2 linked regions of the Alligator mississippiensis genome follow. The protein of the gene in region 2 purifies or fractionates together with the protein of the main gene of each other region. This does not show direct contact. Links are inferred from orthologs where the notes say so. Each region holds a gene or a part of one and is shown on either strand. Other genes may lie near its edges.

Region 1 (8,761 bases), on a different chromosome or scaffold from region 2:
GCCCTACAGCTCACACAAAGCATCACCAACCGGGAGCATGCTGCTTCATGCCAGGTTCAGTCCTGAATCGGCAGAGGCAACTGAGGAAACAGGAACTAGAAGCTAAAAGCCCAGAACTTGTCTTTTTTCAGAATTACAATGGTTACAAGGAAGTGATATTGCCCAATGGAGCCTACTGAGAAATAATGAGATTACGGTTTGAATCCTAGCTTGAGGTCTGCTGCACTGGAGGCGAGCCAGCAAGTCGCACAAGGCAGGAGCTATCTTCCCGCTGCTGTTGGGTCATGAGCTAAGGTGCAAGGGAATGCTGTGGGTCAGTGGGTCTGCCTCTGCAGCTGAAGGAAAGCTAGCCATGCAGTGCACTTGCTGCTTCCACCCAAAGGCCTCTAAACACTTCCCTGACGAAGGGACTTTGATCCTGAAAGCTTGCAGAAAAGGACAATTTTCTTGCCATTTTCCAATTGGTCTAATAAAAGGTATCATTTTGGAACCAAGAGTTCTAGTTTTTGTATGTCTAAACACTTCACAAACATTTGTTAGTTGGACTTGATCAGTTCCAATTTACACACAGGAAAATAAGGGACTAGAAGAAGGCCGGGGCAGAGCAGACTCCCTGCCCGAATCACTAGAACACTCCTAGAGCTGGGAAGAGAACCCAGAAGTGCGGATTCCCCATCCCTCTTCTCAGCATTAAACTACCCCACTCCACCTCACTTTGGCTACATAAGTAGCAACCATTCCATCCCCTGTCCCCCCCACGCACTCTTTAGATTTCCTGTTTTAAACTGCATTGTAAGTAAGCAAAAACAGAAGAGCAGCTGCAGCCATTTGGAGAGCCTCTGCGCAGCCACCTCCTGATGGGAGGGAGCAAAAGGCAGCAGCAGCTAGCCCAAACTGACCACCCAGTGGAGTCTGAAGATAAGAGCAGGCAGCTTAGCTGACCTAAACCAGCATAGAAGACATTTGAATCCGAGTGAAATGAGTTCAGTGGTTTGCTGCCTAACACCTGGAGGACACCCGATCATGTGTTTGCCCCTCCTATTAATGGGAGGTTTGGATCAGGCTCTGGACAAGCTGGTTTGACAAGCAACTGGCTCAGTCACCCCTACAAAAGATGGGATCAAACCCCTCCCCCCCAAATCAATTGAAGCATTTACAACCAAAATCACCCCAGGGACACAATGGGGAAGGGAAACTGGCAGTCACCAAATGCACCACAGACTCACAGGCCTTGGGGCTTGCCCTTACAGGGAAAGTTACTCATTTTAGTTGTATCTTGCTTAAGTGTATCCACGCAGGCAGTTATGCCAGTGCAACTGAAGTGATCACGTCGGGCATGGAAATTTCCCTGTGTGGGCTACAATGTCCAGATGAGAAAATAAAGAGTAACCAATGCTTGAACCATGCTGGGGGTGGCGGGAGGGGACACGGTTTCATTTAACCTGGCTTGGATGAGGTTTGCTGCAAGGCTGTCAGTCTTCTCAGCATGTCCCACAACACACAGGAATGGACTAATTAGCACATGCCTTCTTCCCAACCAGGAAATAAACACATAGCTGAGATGAGACCAGCTTTTATCAAGCAAGAAGCACCTCCTTGGGTGAGCCCAAGATCCTCCCTCTCTGCAGCTAACAGGACCTTTGATTCTCTGCTACAGACATCTTGTTCAGTGGCTTCTGTCCCCCTCCAGTTTCTCTTCCTCCTGTACCATTATTCAGTACTGTATTCAACTCTGGCCTGCATCCAGGCTGTGGACCAACATTTCAGCTATTCAAGCAGCTAAGACACTCATACACATGCTCTTTGATTTTGTGATGGAAACATCCTGACAAGGTAAAGGGTAACAGGAAAAAGGAGCAATTAGCTGAACTCAGTTACCAGAAGCCAAAGCAAACAGGTTCAATACGGTGCGTCTGCACCACGCACTGATGTGCAATTAGGTCCTCAAAGACAAAAGGCACCAAAAGCTGTAGCAGAGAAGCAGCAGAGATGCAGGATAAGGCCAGTGCCTCTTCAGGAACTTACGTTACAGAGTCATCAAAATTCACGCTGCTTTGGTCATAGACCCCACAAAGCAGACGGGCTAGCTGCACATGAGGATTTACATTCAGAAACCAGCCACATCAAGAGACTCGTAGTTGTTCCCTAGCAAGGCTCCAACCCACAGAAGAGGTGGGAGCTAGGCTCCCCTCTACATAACTGATTTTCCTCAGGTAATCATCTCATGCAGCCAAGCCATTCACTTGGCAAATGAAGCTTTGTGCTTTGGTGGATGAAAAGAACACTTATTTTTTTTCCTTTTGACGTAGAACCCCCCCCGCCACCTTCCATTTTTCCTGGCAGCCGCTGAATAGGCCGAAACTCAAACTTTGCACTGTGATGTGTGTTTCTGTATTGCTCTGACTGTTCACCCCACCCGGAACCCCAACTTTGCATTTCCCGCAACTCTGAGCGGCAAATGGATTGGAGCGGCTTCTTCCCCCCGCCCCCGTCCCCACTTGTTCCGTTTACTTGGCTCAATTGTAGAGTCCCTGGTAAACGACCAGCATATTTCACTAGGACCAAAAAAAACAAACCCTGAAAACCTGAGAGAGAGAACATGATGGCCCCGGGGTACCAGGAGGTGGAACATGTCCTGCCTAGTCATTAGCTACAGCCTGGTTTGGGCAGGGGGGTCTCTGGACTAAGGGATGGGAGCTAACCTGCATGGTCAGTACTTACAGTCTGGCTTGGGGGGTGTACAGAGCAGGGACAGAACCTTTCCCGCACGGTCACTACTTGCACTCTGCTTGGGGGTCTATGGGCCAGGGGAGGGCATCTTTCCTGCCTGGTCACCCGTTGCAGCCTGGTTTGGGGGGTCCATGGACCAGGGATGGGACCTTTCCCCCATGGTCACTAGCTACCACTGGCGTGGAGATCTATGGGCGGGGCGGGGGAAGATCTTTCCTGCCTGGTCACCAGTTGCAGCCTTGTTTGCTGGGAGTGTCTATGGACCAGGGATCACCAGTTGCAGCCTGGCTTAGGGGTCCATGGGACCTTTCCCCTGTGGTCACTAGCTACAAACCTGCATAGAGATATAAGGGGGGGGGGGGGGGAATCTTTCCTGCCTGGTCACCACCTGCAGCCTGGTTTGGGGAGACCTAAGGACCAAGGTCTATGAACCAGGGATCAGAATGAACCTTTGCTCCGTGGTCACTAGCTATGACCCGGCATGGAGATCTATGGGCCAAGGAAGAGAATCTTTCCTGCCTGGTTTGGCGGTCCATGGACCAGAGGATGGGACCTTTCCTGCCTGGCCACCAGTTACTCCTGGGGAGGGGACCCATCTGAAAAAAAAAATAAGAAAAGACCCCCTAAACCCAGGGAACTTTCCATCTTGAGGCTGGCGGCGGCGGCAGCGAGCCACCTCCGCAGCCGCCCGTCCCCCGTGCCAGCCGGGCCGTGGCCGCGCTGTCTGCCAAGCCGCGGCACTCACGTGTCTCCATCCTCCGAGATGTAGGCGAGCGCCTCCAGCTGCTGGTGGCTCAGGCCGTGCAGGGCGCCGCGCTCCTCGGGCTGCGGCGGCGGCGCGAGGGCGGACAGGGGCTCGGTGAGCGAGGCGGAGCCGTAGCTGGAGTCCACGCGCTCCTCGGCTTCCAGTGCCTCCTTGCCAGGGCCGCGCGGCTCGTCCCGGGGCCCCGCGGCGGGCAGCGAGCGCAGCGAGCGCAGCGAGTCGATGCCCGAGTCGCACTGCCCCTCCTCGGCCTCCGCCGGCCCCTTGCAGCCCTCGGCCCGCGACATGGTGCGGCGCACGGCTCACAGCAGCCCGGCCCCAGCCCGGGAGCCCGGCGGGGCACTCATGGCTGGCAGCGGCCGAGCTGCACCCCCGGCTCCTCCTTCGGGCCTGAGTCACCGCCGCCCGGGATTCCCCCGGCTCCGCCCCGCCCCGCCCGGGGAGGCGCGGCGCGGGGCTGGGCTGGCTCCTCGCTGCCTCTGAGGAGCTGGTGGACGCTGCTCCGGGCAACGGAGGGTTGCCAACCCTCCCTGAGTCTCCAGGGATGAATCAGAGAGAAATCTCCAGGACACTGCTGAGAGTCACCTGGAGAGAAACGATAGGGCGTTCGTTCAAATTAATACGATGGGTCGAATCCGATTTATACAGTAGTCCAGCGGGTTTTTAAATGTCATGGTAGTGCACGTTTGCCGCCCTGACGTAAAGCCTAAGCACCCTAATCCAGAACTGATCAGTGCCTGCGCGCAGGTCATTGGCGTTGTGTTGCAGTCGTTGGTGTGCCTGAAACTGTCCGGAATAGATTCGAACAGAGTTGGCAACCCTAGTGAAACTCCCCACAGACGGGCTTGTTTGATGAGCCAGGAAATGTGAGTCTAGGCCCAGCAAGTAAAGCTGAAAAGCACCCCCTTAAGAAGGGGGGTCATTAAGAGCACATCAGTGAGTGTTTGGGATGCATGACAGGCAGAACAGGGAGGGAAAGGGCGGTCAAAGTTTTAAAATGAGGGTGCCAAAGGAGGACATGGAGCAGAACACACTTGGCAGCACCCACTAGCCCTCAAATGTGTCCAAGGAGCCAGTGGATGCTGCTCAGTGAAACTCGGCCTGGAGACAGGCCTGTTTGATGATGAGCCAGGGAACATGGGCCTAGGCCTGCCAAGGCAAACAATGGCCACTGGAGGCCACTGGGCACAGCAACAGATTCCTTGAGACAAATGGAAAACAAAACAGGGACGGGAGTGAAGGCACAGGTTCATGATGAGTGCACCAAGAGGAGACTCAAAGCAGAGCACATCAACCAGCCAGCACCTGCTGGCTCCCCAGTGCATCCAAGGAGCCGGTGGATGCTGCCCAGTGAAACTGCTCAGAGATGGGCCTGTTTGATGAGCCAGAGAACATGAACCTAGGCCTACCAAGGCAATTTATGAGCCTCCCTTGCTAAGGGAGGTCAGTGGGCACACCAACAGATTCCTTGGGGCAAATGAAAAACAAGACAGGGATGGGAGCGAGGGCACAGGTTCATGATGAGTGGTGCACCAGTGGGGTATGTAGAGCAGTACACACCAGCCAGCACCCACTGTCCCCCAAACAAGTCCAAGGAGCCAGTGGACACACCCCAGTGAAACTGCCCAGAGATATAAACAGATCAGGGACAGGAAAACGGCTCTGCAGTCCTCAGGGATTCCCCCTCACCAGAGCCTCCTTCCTGGTCAGGTGTATTGCTCTGGTTTCATTCAGGAGGGGACTAGCTAACCAGGTGTTTCCTTAGCTGGCACCTGAGGAGGATGTGGCCCTTTCCTTGGAGCTCTGGAAGGTATTTTAACACCCCCTGGCAGCAGCAGGATGGTGCCTGCCACAATCCCCCTGCTTTATCTGTGAGCATGAGTAGATCTAGGATTTTGAAAAGTGGGGTGCAAGTGGTGAGAGGCATCAACTCCCATAACACAATACATATTTTGCTCCAGTTATAAAGAAACTAGAAGCTTTACTGATAGGCTAGGGTCCAGGCCTGTATTATGCAGTTGAAGATGGAAGCAAAAACAAATGGGACCTCACTGGAAGGAGTTAAGATCTGCAGGGCTGTGAAATAAGAGCATCCTCCCTAGGAGCAGTGAACAGACAACAGCATTGCAGAACAAAGGATAGCTTGATTGATGAAACATCAAGACCATTATAAAAAAGAGGGAGTCATTAACACTGGTGGAATGAAGGGTTCCCCCATCCCATCTAAGAACCCATCTGTAGATTATAATGAACCATGAAGTCAATTGACTCCCTCAGTGCCACCTGACTAGGAATGCTGCTACCACTGCCAGGCAGTTGGTTTTAAACTTTGGAGGGGGGCAGGAATAAAAGGGGGTGCAAGTGCACCCCTTTTAATCTACCCCTGCCTGTGACAGGTTGGGTTGCTATGTCTTGTGGTTGTGTTGGGGTGAACCAGCTAGTTTTGCTAATAGGTGGTTCCCAATCTGTGGTACGGATACCACCAGTGGTATGCAGGCAACCTGGCAGTGGTACACATTAACAGATTTATTATAATTACTTTATATGACAAAAAATTGCTGGTGGTACTTAAGGTTGGACTGAAAAATTTGCTGGTGGTACTTAAGGCTGTATTGTTTAAAATTGGTGGTGTGCAACTGTCAGAGTTTGGGAACTGCTGGATTCTCAACCAAGGTGCCACAGCACCCTGCGGTGCCTTGAGACCCTTTCAAGGGTGCCATGGGATGCCACATGATGTTAGCCCTGTCAGGTGAGCACACGTGATGCACAGGATAAACCCAGAGATTTAAAATAGGAATCCAGAGTGTTAAAACCATTTTGACCAGTTTGGGTCCTTCTGAGAGGTCTTTGCAACAAAAGAATTGCTCTGTTGTTTTCCTGTAGTCAAAAAATTAGTGAAAAGTAAGAGCTGGCATTTTCCAAGGGGGGCCTCGAGTCTAAGAGGGATGCCTTGAGCTAAACTAGAGGTGCCTTCAGTTTAAAAAAGGTTAAAACCCACTGGGTTAGACAATGGATAGTTTGGATAGGAATGATCCTGCCTCAGGCAGGGAGTTGGACTCACTAGATGACCTCTGAAGGCCTCTTGCAGCCCTGCTTTTCTATGATTATGTGTGTTGTTACTGATAGTAATTTACACTGAACCACATAGTGTTTTATACCAGCCATAACCAACTTGGAACCTGGTGGATTCCATAGACTCCACCGGGCAAGCTTAAAAAGAAACTCGTCTGCAATTTTTCCTGCTTCTGGCGGGGTCTGTCTATGTGAGCATGAGCAACAAGGACTGTATCCCAATGTGGCTGTGTGTGCCAGACACATGCTCTATGTGGTGTTTCTGAGTGATCATTTCCTCCCCTGGATTACATTTGTTCAGGATCTGACACTTGCCTCTGTTTATTATTGTCGGTTCTTTAAATATCAGGCAAGTTTGCTGTGGGAGTGAGAAGGATCTTGCCAGGCCCAGCAGAGTTGTGACTTGACTGTGACATACACAGGTACTGACTGAACCCTGGTGGGTGGAGAAAAACTAAACTGAATACATGATTTAAGAACTTTGCTTTACCTACAGAGGGAGGTATCAGGAAAGCTTTAATATAGGGAACTGCAGCAAATCCTTCTTCAGCTTTATGTCATTATTTGTTGGAGGCTATGACACGGAGGGGTGAACTGACTCACCCAAGGTCATGTGGCTCACTAATAAAAAATTATCAAAGGTTTCCCTAACCCTAGCAGCCCACTGAGCTAGCATGATTACAGCACACCAGCTTCTGGGGCCAATGGCACACAAAGATTGGTATAGCTGACAGCACATCTTACCACCCTTGATTCCCCAGGCCAAGTGACCAGGTATTCATTCATGGCCAAGCCAAGTGGGGAGCAGCCTTTTGCATGAGTTCAGAGAGAAACTCACACCACTTGAGTCAGCAGGATACATCACCTGCTCTGCCACTGGCCCCCCTACAGCTTGGGAGAAAACAACGTGTGGGAGTTCTTGAGCCCAAACAGGAGCTATGTCCACTACCTCTTACTCTCCAGCTTCAGCTTAGCTATAAATGAGAACTCACAAATCTAATCTAGGCCATCATCCTCACTGCAAACGTGACTGATCTGTACAACAGATTTGTCATGATCAAGTCCAGTTACATTTCCACTGTCCCAAGCAAGCACAGGGAAAGTCTAGTAGCAGACCTTGTTACCGGAACACTTCTCTGGAGGTTCAGCCCTGTCTCCTTTTGCCCAGCAATCCCATGTCACTCCTAGTTATTTTCTCTTGAAGCCCTCAAGGCACTTCTCTTCCTGGAGGTTTTCACTTTTCAAGGGCCTGAAGACAGATCTTTCCAATAAGAGGGTGTGCCTGGGAGAGCTGATAATTCCACCAGGCATGTCTTTAGTCCCTTTGCCAGCTGATTTGAGAAGCACCTTACTCCTTTGGGGATCAGTGCTAAGGAAGCCAATACAGATCAGACTGTATGCAAAACTCAACTTCCCCTTGCATTGCTATGTCTGTTGCTATGAGATGGCATGAGCGTGCGTCATAGCTGCTCACATCAGCCATTCAGGCATTTACCCAGAGCCCTTGCTGTGTGCAAGCTAAACAAGAAAACAGTGACCACATATTAGTGGAGGTCAGCGGGCAGACTCCGGAAGCTGGTGGTACCATCAGTAACTTTCAGTCACAAGTTTTCCTCTTGCTCATGTGATTCATCTCACTATGTCAGTGTCCCTGCTTTAGATTCTGTTTCTTCAGAGTCTGGGTCTGCCCTAAAGTACCCGTGGCTGACCCTCCTATCCCCTCTGGTGCAAGGTTAAATAATCTTCATGTCCCAGATCTAGAATACAACCTTCTTAACTCAATCCTGGATCTGAGGTCCTCCTGAGAGAGTGTCCTGTGCAGGCTCCTTCATATTAGCACATCAGTAGAAGTCCCTGAAAAGTCCCTCAGGAAACACCTGACAGTAGGGGAAGAACAGGCAACTCTGAAAACATGCCATGTCCTTCCTGATGTGATGCAGGAACCAGCCCTCCCAATCTTTTTCAGCTGCAGTCAGTAGTACAGGCACATGTCCTTCAGGGAATACCCATCCCCGATGCCCATGAATTGTGCGTCCTGAGCATCTCTGCATTCCAGTAGGTGGCTTCCATTCCCCGGATATGAGTGAATCTTTTCAAGAGGCTTGGGGGCAGGAGGGTGGGGGGAGAATCATATCTAGGAGGCTGTAAGAGGGTTAGTAAAGGCAGAAAGGTGACCTTCACCCACCCCAAGAATTT
Region 2 (8,383 bases):
CACCCACCCGCTCCACATCCTGCCTCCAGAACCAGGTGCGCAACACCCCCTGCAAACCCGGGGTGGGGCCAGGCCAGCAGAGGAGCTCTGGGATGCAGGGCACAGGGTCAGAGGGGCCTGGGGGTGTCCCCATGGGACCTTGGTGGGCTCCCAGATCCCCTCGGAGCTCCTGGGCTGGGCTGGGTTGCAGGCAGCGGGTGTGCCCCCCCCCCCCCCCCCCGGGTCACCCACCTTTGAAGGGGTCGATGCCCAGCTGTAGCTTCTTCTCGATGGCTCCCTCGATCTCCTTCTTCTTCACACACTGGATGCCGAGATTGCTGAAGCTGCCAGGGCCAAGAGGGCATGGGCTGGAGGCTGGCCAAGCTCCGTTGTGCTCATGAGCTGCCCTCCTTCCCTGCCCTCAGCCACGGAGGGGGCACCACTGCATGGGGTGCTGCCATGTAGCACCCAGGGGCCATGCCAGCCCCAGCCCTGGCCCCACTGGTCCAGCCACTACTGAGCATGGTTCCCCCTGGGGCTCCTCCTCCGATCCCTCTGCCTCCTTCAGAGCTCTCCCAGGCCCAGAGAGAGACACGGGGATGCCCAGTCCCCACCTTCTGCCTGGCCCCAGCTCCACAGGGCCCCTTCACCTTCCCCACATGGCAGCCAGCTGAGAGGCCAGGTGGGAGGAGCTCTGAGGGGATCTGGGAGCCCACCAAGGCCTCACGGGGACACCCCCAGGCCCCTCCGACCCTGTACCCATGCCTCTGCCCTGCCTGGACAGGCCTCCACCTCCGCATGGGGCCCCCTGGCTTGGTGTGTGCCCCTAGGCTGCAACCTAGGAGGGGCTGCTCTGGTCCCAGGGCCAGGACCCCGAACCACCTGGCTCTCCCACCCCAACCCCTGGCAGCAGCTCCTGGGAGGTGCTTGGTCCCCAGCCAGCGGGACGGAGCCCGGGGCACCGCAGCTCCGGCTCCTCCAGCAGACAGGGGCTGGGGTGCCAGGGGCTCCGTTCTAGCCCAAGGGCAGGGAACAGCGAGGAAGAAGCCACAGCACTGGGAAATCGCTGTCAGGCCACGACTGTCCAAGGGCCCCAGATACCGAGCCTAGGCCACCCCCGGGACGGGGCCATGTGGAGGAGTCTCCCAACCCCCAGGGCTGCGCGGCTGGTACCTGTGCTTGGGGTTGGTCTGGGGCTTGAGGGTGACCTCGCAGAGCCCATTGCTGCAGTCCTTGCCCACAAGGCCGTGGGGGTGGATACGGAACGGCCAGTCCTTCCACACCAGGCAGGCCGTCACCTTCACCTCTGGGATCTTCTGGCAGTTCAGCAACTGGGGAGACGCCAGAGGCTCATTGCAGGGGGATGGGGTGGGGGAGGCTGATACAGGGATAACAGGGAGAGAAACCAGGCCCCCACCCTGGACAGGGGGCTCCCAGCCCCTCTCCCAGGGCAGGTTGGGTCCCCTGCGGCCAGGCCAGGCCAAACAGCTCAGCCCTGTTCCAGCGGGAAGTCCAGTTCTCATTGTACGAGAAAGTGGAGCACAGGGTCCAGAGGTGCCCCCACACTTGCCCCTGGCTGGGGGAGATGTGATGGTGCCTGGGTCCAGGGTCCTACCCCATCGTGGGGGTGGGAGGGGAGGAGGGGTAACCCAGCCAGGCCTGCCTGGCTGTCCAGCAGGAGCTATTGGGGGCAGGGGGTGAGCACAGGGCCCCTGCCCAGTGCCCTGCCCCCTCCTCACCTCGATGGCTGGCAGGGTCTTGCTGGCCTCAGTGCTACTCTCGCCCAGGATGCTGCCAGCTGACCGGCCCTCACACTCATAGCGGAAGCGCATGCCCCGCTGCTTCGGCTGCTCTGTGATCACCAGCTTGGGCGGCTCCAGCATGTCCTCCAGCTGCTCCTTGGCCGTGGGCATGGACCAGTGGTGCTGGGCGGGCGCGGCGGTGGACGGGAGCGGCGTCCCCCGTGGCACCAGCCTCGGCGACAGCGTCAGGTTGCCCAGGCTCTGGGTGAGCTGGGGGCCCCGGGAGACAGGTGGCAGCAGGGGGGAGTCTCCAAAGGGCCCCAGAGTCCCTGGCAGCGAGCCGGACCCCAGAGGCTGTGAGTGGCGCAGCGATCTCGTGGGCACCATGGGGCTCGAGCCCCGGGGCACCAACTTGGCCGGGCCCTTGGGCATAGGCCTGGGCAGGAAGGACGGGGCATCCGGCTGGAATCCATCCTCCTTCATCAGCTCCTCAATGATCTCTGTGGTGGGGGGGGCACCATCAGGGCACAGCTGCAGAGACTTGCCCGGGGGCAGCGGGAGCAGCCAGGGGTTGGCACGAGTCACAGGCAGCATTGGGATGTGGTGGCAGGAGCCCTCTGCCAGCCACAGCCATGCACAGGGCTGCCCACCCTGGCCTCTGAGCCCTGCCCTGCACACACTGCCACAATGCCCGCCTTCCTCCCGGCACGTGCCTGCTGCCAGGTAACAGATGTGGGCAAAGCCGCTGGCCTGAGCTCCAGCACCACCCAGCCCCTGCAGCAGGGGAGCTGATCCAGGGACTCAATCTCAGGGAGGGAGGGAGGGGGGCATCTTCCAGCCTGGCTGCTGCAGCATGGGCATGCCCAGGGCACTGCTAGAAGTAGTCCCGGGCCCCACCCAACACCTCCCAGCAGGACACTCCTCCCCTAGTGTAGATGAAGCCCTGCGACAGCAGTCAGTAACTGCGCGCCAGGGTCGCTGGCCTGAACTGCAGGCAAGGGCATACCCAGCCCAGGGGAGCCAGGCTGAGTCGGCCAAGGCTTCTGCTGCCAGGTGGATGTGGAAGGAGAAGGGGCAGGGGCTGGGCACAGCCTCGCTTCCCCGAGCGCCCAGCAAAGGGCGCTGCCAGCACCTGCGGCAGCCAGCGAGTGGCCTTTGCTCCGTGTCTGCCTAGGGTAGGGCTCCTCTGCCCCAGCCCAGCTCCTGCATCATGGCACCAAGAGGACAGGCCCGAAGGCAGAGGTGGAGCCGCATCGGGGGAATCACTCCTGCCCAGACCCCAGGGCTCCGCGGGGGCCGGCAAGCTTCTCCCGTCTCCATGGCCTTGCAGCAGCTGGCAGCACCTACGGGTCCCCTGGCCTGGGCTCTGGGCAGGGGGGCGCAGGGGCTGGAAGCTGCCCCGACCCCACAGACTGCACCGCCGTCCCCTGTCACCGTCACGCCAGCCAGCGGGTCCCGCAGGCTGCGACCGCCCTGGCAAGCCCCAGGGCTGCACGTACCTGCTCCTGCCGCACCCCCACGCCCAGAGGTCACTCACCTAAATCCTCTGCAGAAGAGAAAGGAGAGGCTGGCTCTAGTTTGGCGCAGGCGGCTGCTCTCCCTCCCCCTGCCCAGGAGCCCAGCCACCCGCCAGGACCCAGGGCTGGCAGGAGCCCCCGGGCACCAAGCCCAGCGCCCGGCGCTGCCCCTGCTCTGGGAGAGCTCCTGGGGACGGGGGCTGAGGCTGTCGTGGGGCAGCGCAGGAAGCCCCCAGGATCCCTCTGCTGCGGGGGCCAGGGGGCATGCAGAGGGCCCGAGATGCCCGCGGCCCCGGAGCAAAAGCTCCTCCGCCCCGGGAGCTGCCTGCCTCAGTCCCCCCTGCTGTGAAACGGGGCCGCGCGGCGCGGCGCGAAGCGGAGCCCCCGGCCCTCACCGTCCGCGTGCGACGCCTGCGCCATGGCCGGGCCGCGGTCCGGGGCGGCGGCTCCTGCGGAGACACGAGGCCCGTTACCCCGCGCCTGCCCGGGGCGGCCCCGCGCCCGCCGCCCAGCGGCCCCGCGCCTCACCTGGCGGCAGAGGCCCCCGCTCCCGCCGCTGCTGCCGCCCCCGGGGCTGCCGCATCGCCTCCCGAGCCGCGCCGCGCCGCGCCGTGCCGCGCCGAGCCGGGCCGGGCCGCGCCGGGCCGCGCCGGGGGCAGCGCGGAGGCGGCGGCGCTGGAAATCCCCGGCTCCGCCGCCGCTGCCATTGGCTGCGCCCCGCGCTGAGCTCATCGCCCGGCGGGGAAAGCCCCGCGCCCGGGGGGCCGCCGCAGCCTCGCGCCCCCGCGCCAGGGGAACCGGAGCCCGATGCACGGCCGCCGGGGCCGGGGGCTCCGGGCCGGAGCTCCTGAACGCCGGGGAGCGGGGCAGCTGTGCCCTGGCCCTGGGCAGGGCATGGGGCAGCCGAGCCCGGACACGGACACGGGCACGGGGCACACACAGGCTGTGCCCTGGGCTGAGCGGTGGGCCCTTGCGAGCACGGCAGGACGGAGCCCAGTGCAGGCGGCGTCTCCCCAGGGCCGTGTCAGCAGGGCTGGGAACGCCTGGCCGCCCCGCAGTCCCTGGGGCAGCAGACACCAGACGTAGCCAGCTGGGGGTCAGGGCAGCCTCGTGCCCACCGCAGCCGCAGCCCATGATACCTGTCCAGGGAGCCGCGGCAGGCCGTTCTTGCCTTGAGCTGGCACAGCAGAGAGCAGCAGAGCTCCTGGCTCCGGTGCTGGGATCCAAGTGCCCTGACTGCCCTGGGGGGCAAAGCCATGCTCAACACCCGAGCTCAGCGCTCACCGAGGCTCTGGGCTCTCAGTTCCCCTGTGCCTTGGGAAGAGGTGAGAGCAGCACAGGACTAGAAGGCACAGCTGGTTCCTCAGCCCCCGGTGAAGCCAGAAGGGCCTGGGAATGAGGGTGGGTGGGCGGACGGGGCATGGGGGAAGGGTGCCACGAGGCAGTGCCCCAGCCTGAGTCAGCACGTGGAGTCCGGGGGACCTGGAAACACTGACTGGTAACCAGCCAAGGAGCCCCAGCCTCCACTTTCCCTGGCGTGGGAGGGGCACACACAGGTTCTGCAGCGGAGAGCACATGCCGCTCTGATCTCCCGGGAGGCTCGGAGGTGCTCTGAGAAGCATGGCCTGCCTCCTTCCCACCCCCAACCCACTCTCCCCACCCAGCCCATGGAGGGGGGACCAGCTTCCAGACTGGCTCACCAGGCACAGGTGACCAGAAAATCAACTCCCAATGAGGAAGCTGGATCTGACACCCCCTTGGTTGCAACCACACTGCAGAACCTTGCACCAGGCGCCTGCATCAGAGACCTTGTGTAATGTGTGTGTCGGGGGGGGGAGGGGGGGGCAAATGAATCCAGTTCTTAATCTAATCCAAGTGCCAATTCAGTTCTGCGTCTCAGTAACTGTCTGCAAAGATCCATGGGCCACCCACTGACAACCTCCCCCAGACCCATAGACCTGGGAGTCTAGATGTTCCCCGTATCCAGGTGGCCAAGCTACAGACAAGTCCTGAGCCAGGAGGCCTGGGGATCGGATGCCCCCAGTCATACTTGATCATAGCAGAAGGCCGAGAACCACTAAATCAAATGACCTCAGAGACCAGCCTCCCTGTCCCATCTGGCAGCACCATCGTGCTGGGCTCCCAGAGCACGTACGTGGCACAGAGTGGCGCTTTCCCCAGTCACTTCCTTGGGCAGAGGGGGCTGCATCTGAGCTGCCTCTGGACTAAGTGAGCCCAGCCTGCCTCCACTGATGCAAGGCCGGGGAGGGCTGTAGCTGCAGGTAGCTCAGAGGCATTTCTCCTCTGGCAGAGCTGAGGGAATCAACTGACTTCATGGCCCATTATACTCTCCTAATAGCTCTTCATTCCACAGGTGTGAACCACTCTCTCCCTGTGAACAGTCCTGAGGTTTCACTATTCAAACTCTCCTTCCTTCTGCAGCACTGATGCCTGTTAGCCATTCCTGGAACTTCTCTCCCATTTTGCAGCCCTGTAGGCTGTTTTTAGTTCAAGCTGAAAATTTTAACTCAGAGGTAGTGCGATTGACTTGTCTAGAAATGACTGACACAGTGAAGTACTGGAGACGATGTTAAGATGCTCAGGGATACTACATGTTGTTTTACAAATCTGGGTAAGAAATGCATATTTAACTATAAAAGCTACAAGACTAATGACCAGGGATCCTGGTTTTCACTGATTTAAAAAAAATCCCCCATTTTCGGTTAAAAAACCAACCCCCAAATCAACATTTTTTCCATGATTTAAATGAAACACCACTAATATATAGCTACCTATATATTAGTGGTGTTTCATTTAAATCATGGAAAAATGACATTTGTTTTTGCTTTAATCTTAAACAGAATAACACAGTGCTAGGTCCCTGGCATCTTCATAGATTCATAGATGTTAGGGTCGGAAGGGACCTCAATAGATCATCAAGTCCGACCCCCTGCATAAGCAGGAAAGAGTGCTGGGTCTAGATGACCCCAGCTAGATACTCATCTAACCTCCTCTTGAAGACCCCCAGGGTAGGGGAGAGCACCACCTCCCTTGGGAGCCTGTTCCAGACCTTGGCCACTCGAACTGTGAAGAAGTTCTTCCTAATGTCCAATCTAAATCTGCTGTCTGCTAGCTTGTGGCCATTATTTCTTGTAACCCCCAGGGGCGCCTTGGTGAATAAAACCTCACCAATTCCCTTCTGTGCCCCCATGATGAACTTATAGGCAGCCACAAGGTCGCCTCTCACCCTTCTCTTGCGGAGGCTGAAAAGGTCCAGTTTCTCTAGTCTCTCCTCGTAGGGCTTGGTCTGCAGGCCCTTAACCATACGAGTGGCCCTTCTCTGGACCCTCTCCAGGTTATCCGCATCCTTCTTGAAGTGTGGTGCCCAGAACTGCACGCAGTACTCCAACTGCGGTCTGACCAGCGCCCGATAGAGGGGAAGTATCACCTCCTTGGACCTATTCGTCATGCATCTGCTGATGCACGATAAAGTGCCATTGGCTTTTCTGATGGCTTCGTCACACTGCTGGCTCATGTTCATCTTGGAGTCCACCAGGACTCCAAGATCCCTCTCCACCTCTGTGCCACCCAGCAGGTCATTCCCTAGGCTGTAGGTGTGCTGGACATTTTTCCTCCCTAGGTGCAGCACTTTGCATTTCTCCTTGTTGAACTGCATCCTGTTGTTTTCTGCCCACTTGTCCAGCCTATCCAGGTCTGCCTGCAGCTGTTCCCTGCCCTCCGGCGTGTCCACTTCTCCCCATAGCTTTGTGTCGTCTGCAAACTTGGACAGAGTACATTTGACTCCCTCGTCCAAGTCGCTGATGAAGACATTAAAGAGTATCGGTCCAAGGACCGAGCCCTGCGGGACCCCACTGCCCACACCCTTCCAGGTCGAGACCGACCCATCTACCACGACTCTCTGGGTGCAACCCTCTAGCCAATTCGCCACCCACCGGACCGTGCAGTCATCCACGTCACAGCCTCTTAACTTGTTCACCAGTATGGGGTGGGATACCGTATCGAAGGCCTTCCTGAAGTCTAAGTATACAACATCCACCCCTCCTCCTGTGTCCAGGCGTTTCGTAACCTGGTCATAGAAAGAGACTAGGTTGGTCAGGCACGATCTGCCCGCCACAAACCCGTGCTGGTTTCCCCTCAGCATAATCTGCCCTGCCGGGCTCTCACAAATGTGAGCCTTGATAATTTTTTCAAAGACTTTGCCTAGGATGGAGGTGAGACTGACCGGCCTATAGTTGCCCGGGTCCTCCTTCCTCCCCTTCTTGAAAATGGGGACCACGTTAGCCCTTTTCCAGTCCTCCGGGACTTGGCCCGTGCGCCATGAGCGTTCGAATATTCCCGCCAGTGGCTCTGCAGTGATGTCGGCCAGTGCCTTCAGCACCCTCGGATGGAGCCCATCTGGGCCTGCCGACTTAAAGGCATCCAGTTCTTCCAAGTGACTCTGCACCATCTCAGGGTCTACGCATGGCAGTCTGGCGCCTTGCTGCTGCCTCTCTGCAACCCCAGTGAGAGACTTGTCGTGCCCCTCGCTTAGGGACACTGAGGCAAAGACCTCGTTGAGGAGTTCAGCCTTGTCCCCCCTGTCTGTCACCAATTGCTTCTGCCCATTTAGCAGCAGTCCTATTCCTCCCTGGGCCTTCCTTTTACTCCCTATGTATCTAAAAAACAATTTCTTGTTGTCCTTTACTTGGGTTGCCATCCTCAGCTCCATGGTAGCCTTGGCCCGCCTAACTGCCTCCCTACAAGTGCGAGCAGAGGAGGTATATTCATCTTAGTTAAGCCTCTAGTTTTTCTTTAACTAGACACAAACGTGCGTCACACCCCACTGTTCAAAATCCTGCATCCACCCACACTGTGCACCAAAAAGCGACGTGGCTCTTCTATGATGGCACCTGGCTTGGCAGGACGGGGAGCCGTGCGCGAGAAGGCCCTGTCTGACTTGCTAGCCTGGCTGCAGAGCCTCGCAAGGCAGAGCGGTTTTCAGGAACATCTAAATGGCTGCACTAAGAAAAACTGGCCTTTGAGCCACGAGCAAGCCTCGTCCTTAACCGCGACGCTGCCCATCTTCCGCTGTGCTCGCAGCCCAGGCTGCGTGGGCTTCGTGCAGAACACGTGACACCAAAAATC

The links.
Region 1: the proteins of RELB (region 2) and NFKBIE purify together in Homo sapiens (affinity purification with mass spectrometry; 3 studies listed by BioGRID and IntAct, counting the BioPlex papers as one, with this or other methods). This does not show direct contact. The link is inferred for Alligator mississippiensis from reciprocal best matches to the Homo sapiens genes RELB and NFKBIE.

Annotation. Positions count from the first base shown.
Region 1 is NC_081824.1:169,791,036-169,799,796, forward strand, and holds the start of NFKBIE (NF-kappa-B inhibitor epsilon), read right to left. Parts: upstream 3,896-8,761; 5' UTR 3,781-3,895; coding exon 3,476-3,780; intron 1-3,475. UniProt on the Homo sapiens protein: Sequesters NF-kappa-B transcription factor complexes in the cytoplasm, thereby inhibiting their activity. Sequestered complexes include NFKB1-RELA (p50-p65) and NFKB1-REL (p50-c-Rel) complexes.
Region 2 is NC_081838.1:226,765-235,147, reverse strand, and holds the start of RELB (transcription factor RelB), read right to left. Parts: upstream 3,896-8,383; 5' UTR 3,822-3,895; coding exon 3,767-3,821; intron 3,688-3,766; coding exon 3,634-3,687; intron 3,268-3,633; coding exon 3,259-3,267; intron 2,222-3,258; coding exon 1,719-2,221; intron 1,311-1,718; coding exon 1,153-1,310; intron 324-1,152; coding exon 232-323; intron 1-231.